3 linked regions of the Oryctolagus cuniculus genome follow. The protein of the gene in region 1 interacts with the protein of each later gene in a pairwise test. Links are inferred from orthologs where the notes say so. Each region holds a gene or a part of one and is shown in the gene's direction. Other genes may lie near its edges.

What was found.
Region 2: the proteins of EGFR (region 1) and APBB2 interact in binary tests that used the Homo sapiens proteins (3 or more experiments, as listed by UniProt). The link is inferred for Oryctolagus cuniculus from reciprocal best matches to the Homo sapiens genes EGFR and APBB2.
Region 3: the proteins of EGFR (region 1) and protein S100-A4 interact in binary tests that used the Homo sapiens proteins (3 or more experiments, as listed by UniProt). The link is inferred for Oryctolagus cuniculus from reciprocal best matches to the Homo sapiens genes EGFR and S100A4.

Annotation. Positions count from the first base shown.
Region 1 is NC_091447.1:57,844,550-57,848,195, forward strand, and holds part of EGFR (epidermal growth factor receptor), read left to right. Parts: intron 1-2,632; coding exon 2,633-2,701; intron 2,702-3,276; coding exon 3,277-3,395; intron 3,396-3,646. UniProt on the Homo sapiens protein: Receptor tyrosine kinase binding ligands of the EGF family and activating several signaling cascades to convert extracellular cues into appropriate cellular responses.
Region 2 is NC_091433.1:34,561,012-34,564,657, reverse strand, and holds part of APBB2 (amyloid beta precursor protein binding family B member 2), read left to right. Parts: intron 1-216; coding exon 217-332; intron 333-2,353; coding exon 2,354-2,533; intron 2,534-3,646. UniProt on the Homo sapiens protein: Plays a role in the maintenance of lens transparency, and may also play a role in muscle cell strength. Involved in hippocampal neurite branching and neuromuscular junction formation, as a result plays a role in spatial memory functioning.
Region 3 is NC_091438.1:44,755,315-44,759,060, forward strand, and holds protein S100-A4, read left to right. Parts: upstream 1-1,168; 5' UTR 1,169-1,295; coding exon 1,296-1,379; intron 1,380-1,560; coding exon 1,561-1,716; intron 1,717-2,975; coding exon 2,976-3,140; 3' UTR 3,141-3,271; downstream 3,272-3,746. UniProt on the Homo sapiens protein: Calcium-binding protein that plays a role in various cellular processes including motility, angiogenesis, cell differentiation, apoptosis, and autophagy.

The DNA of each region.
Region 1 (3,646 bases):
AAGTAGCACCCAGGCCAGCTGAAGCCTTGAGACTGACCTCTGTCCGTGGGAGGAAGTTTGTCCACTTTCCCTAGGTGCTTGGGAGCTTGTCCCTGCCAGTTGATCAGCAGAGAAGCCATGCTAGGAGAGCCCCGTGGGGACCAGGCCGAGGTCAGGGCTGCATAGAATTCTGAAGACACGTGGTTCCATTTGCCCCTTCTTTCCATCATCAGCAAGAAGCAACTTCCTGCTTCTCTGTATCCCTGTGACTGCAGCAGATGCTTGGTTTTTGCCCTGAAAGCAAATGAAACCAGCATGGATCTTCAACATCCTCAAACTCACCAAGCAGAGCTTCTGCCTGCCTGTGGGGATGAAAGGCCACAGTGTGAAATCTGCCATCTCCACCATTTTCAAATTCAGTGGCTGCCGTGACACTGCTGTGCAGCCCGCACCACCTCCCTCTCCAGGATGCTGTGCCTGCTGCAGAACTGAAAGTCTGTGCAGTGAAGCAGTGACCCCATGTTCTGCCTCCTGGCCAGCTCCTGGCCTGGGTGGCCCCTTGCTGTCCTCTGTGAATTGATCCCTTGAGTGCCTCACATGCTGGAGCCACACAGCCCTTCTGTGACTGGCTTCATTTACTTAAGCGTGGTAGCTCCGCGATCGTCTGTTGTAGCGTGTGTTGGAATTTCCTTCTTGTAGCTGCATGAGTTTTCCCACCACGTTTTTGCCATGCTTGCTTTTTCCACCGATGGGTGCTTGAGTGACTCCCACCACCTGTCTGTTTCCACGATGCTGCTGTTAACATCCATGCTAAGCCCATGTTATAAACATTTTTGTCTACAAGAGTGACACTCCCTATGCTTGCAAGAAGCCAAAAGCTTCTTTCACAATGAACAATTTTATGTTCTTTGTGTGATCAAGGTTAGCATTTCCTCAGCCAGTTCACAGACAGTAGAAGGTTAAGTTGTGTACACTTATAAAAAAAAAAAATCAGACATAGGCAGGCAATGAAGCCAGTAGTGGTTTGTCATAGGCCAGACAAGAGAGCCCTCAGTGCCCACATCCTCCACAGCATGGATGTGGGGATTACCCATCCAGAAAACGTCAGCAAAGAAAGAGAGGTTCCTGCAGTAACAAGACTGAAATATTGCAAAGCTTTGAGCTGCAGTCCAATATGGAAGGACAGTCACATAGAATAAACATGGATAAGACAATAAGAAAGTTAAACTGGAAGTCCATAAAGAAGTGAGCTTTCATGCCAATAAGGGAAGAATTCATTATTCAACAAACTGTTCTGAAATGACTTAACTCTTAGGGCTTAGCCAGGCTGAAGCCAGGAACCAGGAACTCCATCTGTGCCTCCCATGTGCGTGGCAGGGACCCAAGTACTTGAGCCATCATCTGCGGCTTCCCAGGGTGCATTAGCAGGGAGCTGGAATCAGGAGCAGAGCGGGGACTCGAGTCTAGGCACACCAATGTGGGATGTGGTCACCCTAACCAGCATCCTAACTGCTAGGCCAAATATTTGCCCCAGAAATTTGGAAAAATATTGAAATATAGGGTAAAAAGTAAAAATAACATAATTTCATTATGTAATCAAAACCACTTTTAACACTTCTATGTATTATTTTTGCTTTCTCTGTTCCTCGTCACTTTTCTCTCCCCTTCTCTCTTCACAACCTGTAGCCCACACTGTCCGTGTGACGTTGGTCTTCCATCTTTGTGATTCTGTGGAGCACCAGCAATGCATTTCCTTCCTTTAGTCCTGGTGTGACTTTAAAATCAGTCACTCATGTTGGAGTGGTGTTCTGGTTCAGAATCCACTTGCCAATCATCTGCTTTTCCATTTGAAATCGGATTCTCCTGGTGACTAATTTCTTCCTGACTTGGAGACGCGGGGTTCCACAGGAAGCTGTGTCTATACAGGGAGTGAGCTCTGTGTGACTGGGCTCTTTAGAAAGACAAGTGTGACCAAGCTGCTGTTTCACCACTTTGGTCTTCAGATTTCTCCGTGCCAATAGAAACAAAACTAAGGAGATTAAAACCATGTTGCTGTGATGTAACTTGACCAACTTGACCAATTGCAAAGGTTTCCAGGTAGCAGTTTGTAAATCATCAGCTAAGGTTTGAGATAGCCCCAAAGTCACATCCACTGTTACCTTGTACAACCTTCATGCTCAGTCTATACTGCTCTGCTAGGGTCTGGTGATGGTTTTGATTTCATGTGGTGCTCCAAGTGCCTCAGACAGACTGCCCCACTGGGTCACTCAAGACTGGACACATCAAGGAAACCCTGGGTACATGGCAAGGGCCACTGATATGCTCAGCATGTGTGGGGCCACCAGAACATTCATTACCATAGCCTCAGCAAGGCAGGGGTCTGGACCTCGGAGTTCACATAGCCCCTGCCCGAGTGCCGAGCCAGTAACTGCCCCTGCCTCATTTTCCACACCTGGGAGGTAAATACGAGCAGCTGGTGGGTTGCCGGGAATCTGCAAGTCATCCTGTGACCAACCAGGCAGACATGCAGTCAGAGGCTGTGCCTCCTAGCTAGAACTGACTTAGGTCAGGTCTCCAGAAAAGGCGTCGTCAGCTTCTCATCATTCGTTCGCTTCTACCAGGTCAGACTGCCATTATCACTCCTGTGTTTCAGGCCAGAAGTGTGACCCAAGCTGTCCCAATGGAAGCTGCTGGGGCGCAGGCGGCGAGAACTGCCAGAGACGTAAGCTGGGTTAAGTCCCTGTGGGAGGGCGACCCCTCCCGCCTTGGCCTTAGGAGCAGGTGCACTGGCCTGCGAGACTGAGAGAGCTGTCCAAGCATGGGCCCAATGTTTGCTTCCTGCATGAAACTGCCAGGTCCCACAGCTCAGCCACGTGGCTCTCTGTGGTCTTTGCCTTGTGGAAGATAGTGAAACTCAGCTGTGGTCCTACTGCCATTTTTGGTGCCCTGAAAGCTGAGCACACTCCCTGGGCACAGGAGATGGCATTCGCAGGAGAGCCTGGCTTCCTGTCCCTCTCCCGGTCTTTGTGTGTCACCAGAACCCAGGATCAGTGGCATTTAGTGACTTCCAGGTCATTTTGAAGCACTCGGCACTCCTGAGAGAAGAGAAACCAGTGGGAAGCAGGGTGCAGTAGGAGTGTCCTGACCGTCTCAGCTTGGCTGAACGTGGCTGCCTGGGAGTTTGATGAGCCACAGATACTGTGTCCACAGATACTTGTCCACTGCGATGTGTAGACTCTCTGAGAAGTGACTGGTGCCCTCGCTCCGGGCTCACAGGTGACCTTTGCTCTTTTCCAGTGACCAAAATCATCTGCGCCCAGCAGTGCTCTGGACGCTGCCGCGGCAAGTCCCCCAGCGACTGCTGCCACAACCAGTGTGCTGCTGGCTGCACAGGCCCACGGGAGAGCGACTGCTTGGTGAGACCCAGCTTCCCCACCCGCCCCTCACTCCCCCACTCCTGCCCCACTGGAGCTCCTGGGAGAGTTTTTGTTCATGCTGCCTACAGCAGCCCCTCTGCCTGGTGGCAAAGCCCCTTCATATCCGGCCTCCACCACTCACTCTCTGACCTCTGCCTCAGCCTCCCCTGCAGTCTGTCCCAGACTGAGCACCAGCCATAAACACCTGTCTGTCATGAGCATTTCTTGCCCAACGGTGGGGCCATGACCCT
Region 2 (3,646 bases), on another chromosome or scaffold:
AGGGGCAGTAGGAAGTTGTGAGGGAACCCTTGTGCCCTCCAGAAGTGGCAGACACTGCATTCAGCTCACGTCCCAGTGGCTTGGCCATGCCACGCTGAAGGGAGTCTGGGAGGCGTGGCCTTCCACTGGGCCAGATAAGACTGTGGGCGGGGTGACCCTGCACTTGAGAGAGATGCATTGCTCTAGGGCTCTCGTGATGATCCTTCCCGTCCACAGGCATGGATACCCTGAACAGTGCCATAGAAAGTCTCATGACCTCGTCCGACAAGGAGGCATGGCCGTCGGTGAACATGAACGTAGCTGATGCTACTGTGACGGTCATCAGTGAGAAGGTGAGCAGGAATCACAGATGGCCTTGGACTGGATGCAAGGGAGCTTTCAAGGCTTGCCCTCCTGGGAGTCATGTTTACTTGGGACTAAAATGGCCTTCAGGGCAGGTGCTTGGCATAGCGGTTAAGACACCAGTCAGTGCACCTGTGTCCCATGTCACAGTGCCCGGGTGCAGTCCTGACCCCGCTTCCCTTCCAGCTTCCTTAATGCAGACACTGGGAGGTAGCAGTGATGGCTCAAATACTTGGGTTCCTGCCACCCCTGTAGGAGACCTGCATGGAGTCCTGTCGTAGGCTCCTGGCTTTGGCCCGGCCCAGCTCTGGCTCTTGTGGGTTTTGGGGGAGTGAAATATCAGATGGAAGATCTCTCTCTCTCTCTCTCTCTCTCGGTCTCTCTCTCTCTGTCTCTGTGTGTGTTAATGCATGTCTATCTCTCAGGTCAATTAACTGATTAAAATGAAGTGATTAAATGGTCTTATTTTTAGCCCTTTCTCTCGGTCTAAAGCTGAGCCCCTGTGCTTCCCTGGGGCTTAGAGACTTGGCTTCTGGTGCTTCTGATTCTGACGTCTCCACGGGCCCCCGAGGTCAGAGCCATGTGCCCAGGGTGACTGAGTGGTGCTGACTGGAGCTCCCCCGGGAGCTGGGGTTCCAGTCCTCGCTAGTGCTTCAGCACTGACTTAGCTGTGCCGCCTGGGGTCAGGGCTCAAAGTCGCATCCCCTAGGGAAGGTCCTTGGTGCTGTCGGCAGGGGTCAGTGTCCTGCGGAGAGGCCAGTGTCAGCCTCAGCCCAGCTTAGCCCAGTGCTGTGGCTGAGGAAGCGGAAGCCCAGAGACGTGAAGCAACTTGGCCCGTGCCACACAGTTGTCCAGCCCAATTGTGGAAAGGCCTGCCCTGTCGTCCCTGCACGGGTCACCTTCACGCCCGGGTCACCCTCTGCAGAGCACAGGCGCCCACTGGCTGCCATGCCGGTTCCTTCAGCCCCTTCCTACCCGGGCCTGCCATGCTCCTCCCCTTGCCACCCTACCGTACCCCCATCTCAGCTCCTTAGGAAAACGCCCTCATATCTTAGAGCAGTATAGTTTGTTAACCGCTCCAATAGAATCCAAGTGAAAGCTCAATAGGTCAAGATGATAATGGCCCGAAAGTCAACATTCTGGATGTGTCGACTGATTCAAACCTTGCATCTCGGGGTGACTGCTGTGGCACTAAGACATTCACATCCCCGTATCAGAGAGCCTGGGCCTGCGTCCCACATCCACTTCTGACCCGGGCTTGGTGGCTCAAGTGATTGGGTTCCTGTTACTCACATGAGAGACCTGGATTGAGCTCCCAGCTCCCAGCTCCCAGCTCCCAGCTCTGGCCCCTGGCCTGAAGCCATTGTGGGTATCTGGGGAGTTATACAGTGAATTGGAGCTGTCTGTCTCTCCCTCTGCTTCTCTTCCTCTGAAATAAATTAATTGCATGTGGTCAGTGCAGAAGAGGTAATGTTTATGACCATAAGGTTGAATTCTCCAAGCAGTTCACACGACTTCATGTGGATACTGATTTGCAAGAAAGGGAAAACATGATTGGGCAACTTTTCGTTTGACCTGGTTTTCGGTAGGATGTGATTGAATGGGACTTTGTTTAGCTTGGGTTGGGAGACTAGAGGAAGAGAAACACAGTGAATATTTTACTTGGGGCAGGGGGATGGGGGACTCACACAGGGCTTGAGCCGCTCGCTGTGCACCTGCCCGGGGCTGTGTGTAAGAGGTGTGTTTGCCACACGGAAACTCGGCAGCCCCGTGGCACACCATGACTGCAGCGTGTTCAGAGCGAGAGACGGAAAGCCAGGATGACGCTCACGGCTGGGCAGCCTGACCACGCAGCCGGCAAGGTATTGCTTTCCTGGAAAACACCCAGGTCCTTTCTGAGTTTGGTCGGGCAGTTGTCGTGTGCTGCCGCTCTGTTGCTGACCCACCCGTTCGTGGGGACTGCTGCCCGGCTTCCCAGGGACCCCGGGGCACTGAACGGTGTCTCTTGCAGAGCGAAGAGGAGATCTTGGTGGAGTGTCGCGTGCGGTTCCTGTCCTTCATGGGCGTGGGCAAGGACATCCACACATTTGCCTTCATCATGGACACTGGCAGCCAGCGCTTCGAGTGCCACGTATTCTGGTGCGAGCCCAACGCCGGGCACGTGTCTGAAGCGGTGCAGGCCGCCTGCATGGTGAGTAGTCCCAGCCCAATCGGGCACTCAGCCTCCCGGGTGCACAGAGTCAGTGCTGGCGGGCAGACACGTGGCCACGCCACACCTGTAAAGGCCAGTGGCCATACATACACATCAACATCTGTCACCAGCAGGCCATAAAGCCCATGCTGGTCCTGCGAGCTGATCACAGAGCCAGAAAGTTCAGTCCCCTGTGTTTGTATTTTAAGCTAAATGTTACTGCAAGAGTCCAAAAACTTCTTTTTTAAAGTTTATACGGCACAAGAGTTACAATAAGCTAAGATTAATTTATTATTGAAGAAAGAATACATTTTTTTATAAGCTCAGTGGAGAGGGGGCTGAGTGTGTTATGCCACCACTTGTGATACCTGTGTCCCATGTCGGAGTGCCGGTTTGAGTCCCAGGTGCCCCACTTCGGGTCAGTACTTGGCCTCTGCCACCCACATAGGAGATGTGGATACATCTCCCAGTTCCTGGCTTCAGCCTGGCCCAGCCCCAGCCTTTGCAGCTATTTAGGGGAGTGAACCAGCAGAAGGGAGATGTCTCTGTCTGTGTATCTCCCTCTTTGTCTGTCACTCTGCCTTTCAAGTAAACAAACAAACAAAAATCCACAAATCTTGAAAAATAAATGCAGTGTAGGCTGAGCGTGCGGTGTTTACAAAGTCCGCAGTGGCGGACAGCAATGTCCTGGGCCTTCCCGGTCACTCCCCACTCACTCGTGGACCCAAGCAGAGCAGCTCCAGGCCCTGTGAGCTGCACGCCCGGTCAGCGCCCTGCACGGGCGGCGTGGAACCATATCTGCTCGGTCCCGTTCCGTGTTAGATACAGACACTCCCCACCGAGCTCCAGTTGCCTAGACTAAGTCGCCGTGCGAGTTTGTGACATAGCTGCAGTAGGCAGTGCTTGTGCGAGCACGCTCCGCAACACTCGCACGAGGACACAGTCACCTGCCAGTGCGTCTCCCAGAACCAGTCCCCACGATCCAGCCACATGTGGCTGTGTTCACAGCAAGGTCTGGCCGAAGATCGAGTAGCCTCCTAATTGGTTAGCCGGTTCATCTGGGGACTGGTAGGGGCAGGTGCTAGGAACCAGGAGTAGATGGGGAAGTTGAGG
Region 3 (3,746 bases), on another chromosome or scaffold:
CCGCTGAGGCCCTTAAGCCCCCTCTGCTGCCCCTCACTCACCCCTGGACCCCCTGTGCCCCACCCTGAGGGGTCATCCCTGAACCTGACTCCCCCGTGTTGTGCCATGTCACCTCTATCTCTGCACCCCAAACTGCAATATTCATCCCTGACGCCCCCCTCAACCCCACACACCCCCTCCTGCCTACTCTGTGAGTCACAAGCCATACTGAGCCCCACACTGCACTCCCACCCCCACTCCACCAGGACCTCGCCCCTTGATGTACCTGGGCCATCTCACACCTGCCACCAGCCACCTGCCACCCCTGCCTCTCCTTTTCTCATGGCCGCTGGGACTACTTCCTCTGCAGCCCCCAGCCCCAGGCACTGCCCTCCCTCCCCGGCTCCCTGAAACTCTTGCTGGGCTGTGTGCACTGGGTGGTGCCTGCTCCATCAGCTCCCTGCTGGTGCCCACTGGGGCTGGCCCACTGCCCATGGGGGCCTGGCCGGGTCAGGATGCCCGGCAGCCGGCTGAGGCCATGGAGGGGCTGCCCGACTCACCACATCAGCCCACAGCAGGAGGGCAGTGTGCGCTCCCCCATCCCCTTGCCAGGGGCAGGGCCTGGCTGGGGTATAAATAGTCAGACCGCTGGGCTCTCCCCGCTCTTCCTCTCTCCCCAGCCCTCCTCCTCTGTGCTTCCTCTCTCGGCTTGGTGAGTTCTGTGGGCCTGACTGGCACGCGAGGGTGTCACGGGCTGAGGCTGGGTGGGGGAAGGACAGCCTGGTGGGGGCCAGATGTGCTGAATGGACCCAGATGCACAGGCTCTGGGGTGCATGGAAGAGAGAAAAGGCAAGAAGAAAAGTGTGCAGCAGCTGGGTTTGAGCGCCCCCTCCCCGCCCCAGCCCTTCTGAGAAACTGGGGCTTGTGCAGTGTGTGCCTGAGCTGGAGATGTGCACCCTGCTGCGGGGTTGCTGGGCTGCACAAGTGTGCACCCTCGGGTGCAGGAAGAAAGCAAAGGCAACCGAGGGCTTCCTCTGCTCCCGCTCTGTGAGCCCCTGCTCTGCACCCGGCAGCTCAGCCCGGCAGAGCCCTGGCCTCCCACCCAGCCCTGGCACCCCTGCCTCCGCCACCTCACCGGCCCCTCCCAATGACGGGCTGGGTGCCAGGCTGCCGGTTTTTTCCGCTGCAGGCCCCCATGCAGGCCTCTAGCTGCCGCGCCCAGCGCTGGGAGGGAGAAGAATGGGCTGGGGCGGCCGTTGTGGCTGAGCTGTGGGAGTGGACGGGTGAGGGAGGGGTGGAAGAACGCTGTTGTTGGGATGAGGCCTGCAGCCACCTCCGGAGCTTGCTGCCTGGCTCCCTGGAGCCCATGCCACGAACCCCACAAAAGTCCACGGTCCCAAGTATGCATTCCCCCCCCCCGCACCCCTCCCCACCAATAGCTGTGCCCGCCTCTCTGGGTGTCCCCGAGGGCCAGAGAAGTGTCATCAAGGGCCTCTTGAGGGATGGGAGTGCAGGCGGGCATTCGGAACACATGGCTGGGGAGCAGGGGAGGATAAGGGTGCCCGTGCCTCCCGCCCTCAGATCCTGACCGCTGCCATGGCGTGCCCCCTGGAGAAAGCCCTGGACGTGATGGTGGCCACCTTCCACAAGTACTCGGGGAAAGAGGGTGACAAGTTCAAGCTCAACAAGTCGGAGCTAAAGGAGCTGCTGACCCGGGAGCTGCCCAGCTTCTTGGGGGTGAGTGGGTCCCCTGGGAGCAAGCACCCTCCCCCATCCCCAGCCCCCAACCCCCTGCAGGGGAGGCGCAGGCTCTATGAGGCTGCAGGCTTTTTGTGGAATATCAGCTAAAGCTGGTGTTTCTGACTGTGTGGGGAAACTGGGGAGCAGGGAGCCTGCATGGGGTGCAAACACGGCCCCAGCAGAAAGAAGGCTGAGAGAGAACAGGGAGGTTAGGGGCCAGACCCTCTGTCAGGTGCTCTGTACATCTTAAGTGAAAGGGAAAAAAACAAAAACAAAAAACTCAGAGTTAAGTATTTCCCAAGGTAGTGCATGTACAAAACTGGTCTGGACTAAGACCGCCGACTGCCCATTCTTCACTCCAACAGTGAAGGGCTGGAGTTTCCATTTGGCTCATAGATGTGCAGACACAGGTATAGAGACTCAACACACCTAAGATGTCCCCCCCAACAACAGCGTCTACACCTGCATCAAGCAGTCCACCATTTACAAGAGGGTATTGCAAAAAGTTCATGGGAAGTGGCATGAAAAAGCAAGTTTATTTTGGTGCAAAATTTTGAAATCTATAGTTTTAAAAATAATACTCATTTTCATGAACCCTTTGGAGAGTCTTGGGAAGCATGGGTTTCAAACATTTTTGTACCAAAAGGAACTTATTTTTAAATTATATTTCCGGGGCTGGGCATGGTGGTACAGTAGGTTAAACTTCCGCCTGCAATGCTGGCATTCCATATGGGCCCCAGTTCAAGTCCCTGGTGCTTTGCTTCCAACCCAGCTCCCTGTTAATGTGCCGGGAAAGTGGCAGAAGTTGGCCCAGGTACTTGGTCCCTTGTCACCCACATGAAAGACCCAGATGGAGTTCCAGGCTCCTGACTGTGGCCTGTCCCAGCCTTGGCAGTTGAAGCCATCTGGGGAGTAAGCCGGCACATGGAAGAGCTCTCTCTGTCTCTCCCTCTATAACTATGCCTTTCAAATAAAAAAAAAAATTCTGTTTCCACAAACTTTCTGCAGTAGCTGGCATATGCTGTCATGATCATTACCTCACTGGATCATGAGGACAACCTCTAGGGAAGGCGTGTGGTCACTTCGTTTTGCACCTGCACCAGGTCCTCAGACGTCCCCATCCAAGGAGTACTCCCGTTGGCGCTGGTGTGGCCCTGAGGGTTGGGGTCCGAGGCTGGGCCCCCCACAGGAGAGCTGCAGGTGCCAAACTGGTCTAGCCCTGCTCTACCCCCGTGGCTTCTGCTTTCTCCCTCCAGAAAAGGACGGACGAAGCCGCGTTCCAGAAGCTGATGAGCAACTTGGACAGCAACAAGGACAACGAGGTGGACTTCCAGGAGTACTGCGTCTTCCTGTCCTGCATCGCCATGATGTGCAATGAGTTCTTCGAAGGTTTCCCTGATAAGCAGCCCCGGAAGAAGTGAAGGCTCCTCAGATGCCGCTGGGGGGCCCGCCCGCTGGGGTCTTCCCTGTCTGCAGTGGGCACAGCACCTTAGTCCCGCCCCTTGAGACATGTGCACCACGCTGAGCAACTTTAATAAAGAGTCTTAACACCTGTGAGGCTCTCAGTCTGTGACTCTGGGGGCGTGTGGGGTTGGGGGCTGAGGGATGTGTGTGTGGTGGTGGGGGGGGGTAGGGCTGGGGGTGCTGGGACTTGAGCTGCTGGGTTGCAGATCCCAGGAGTGAAGGCTGGGAGGGAGCAGGAGTGACTGAGGGTGTGTGTGTGTGTGTGTGCAGGCATGCGTGTGACCCAGAGGACAGGGGTGGGGCCCAGGCAGGGAAGGAGACCACCAGGGCTTGGAGGGCGGGGCTGTGGCACTGAGCCAGCCCACTCACCCTTTCCAGCTCCCACCAACCATGCCTCTGGCCAATCCCTGAACTGAGGTTACTACGATGGGAAGGTCACATCTGTTTCTAGTTGGGGTCTGGAGAGAAGAGAACGGAGCTGAGTCAGGCGGAGGGAGTAGCCAAGCCAGAGCAGCAGGGGGAGGGGGCTAGCGCTCAGCCCCAACATTTGCAGCCTACGCCTG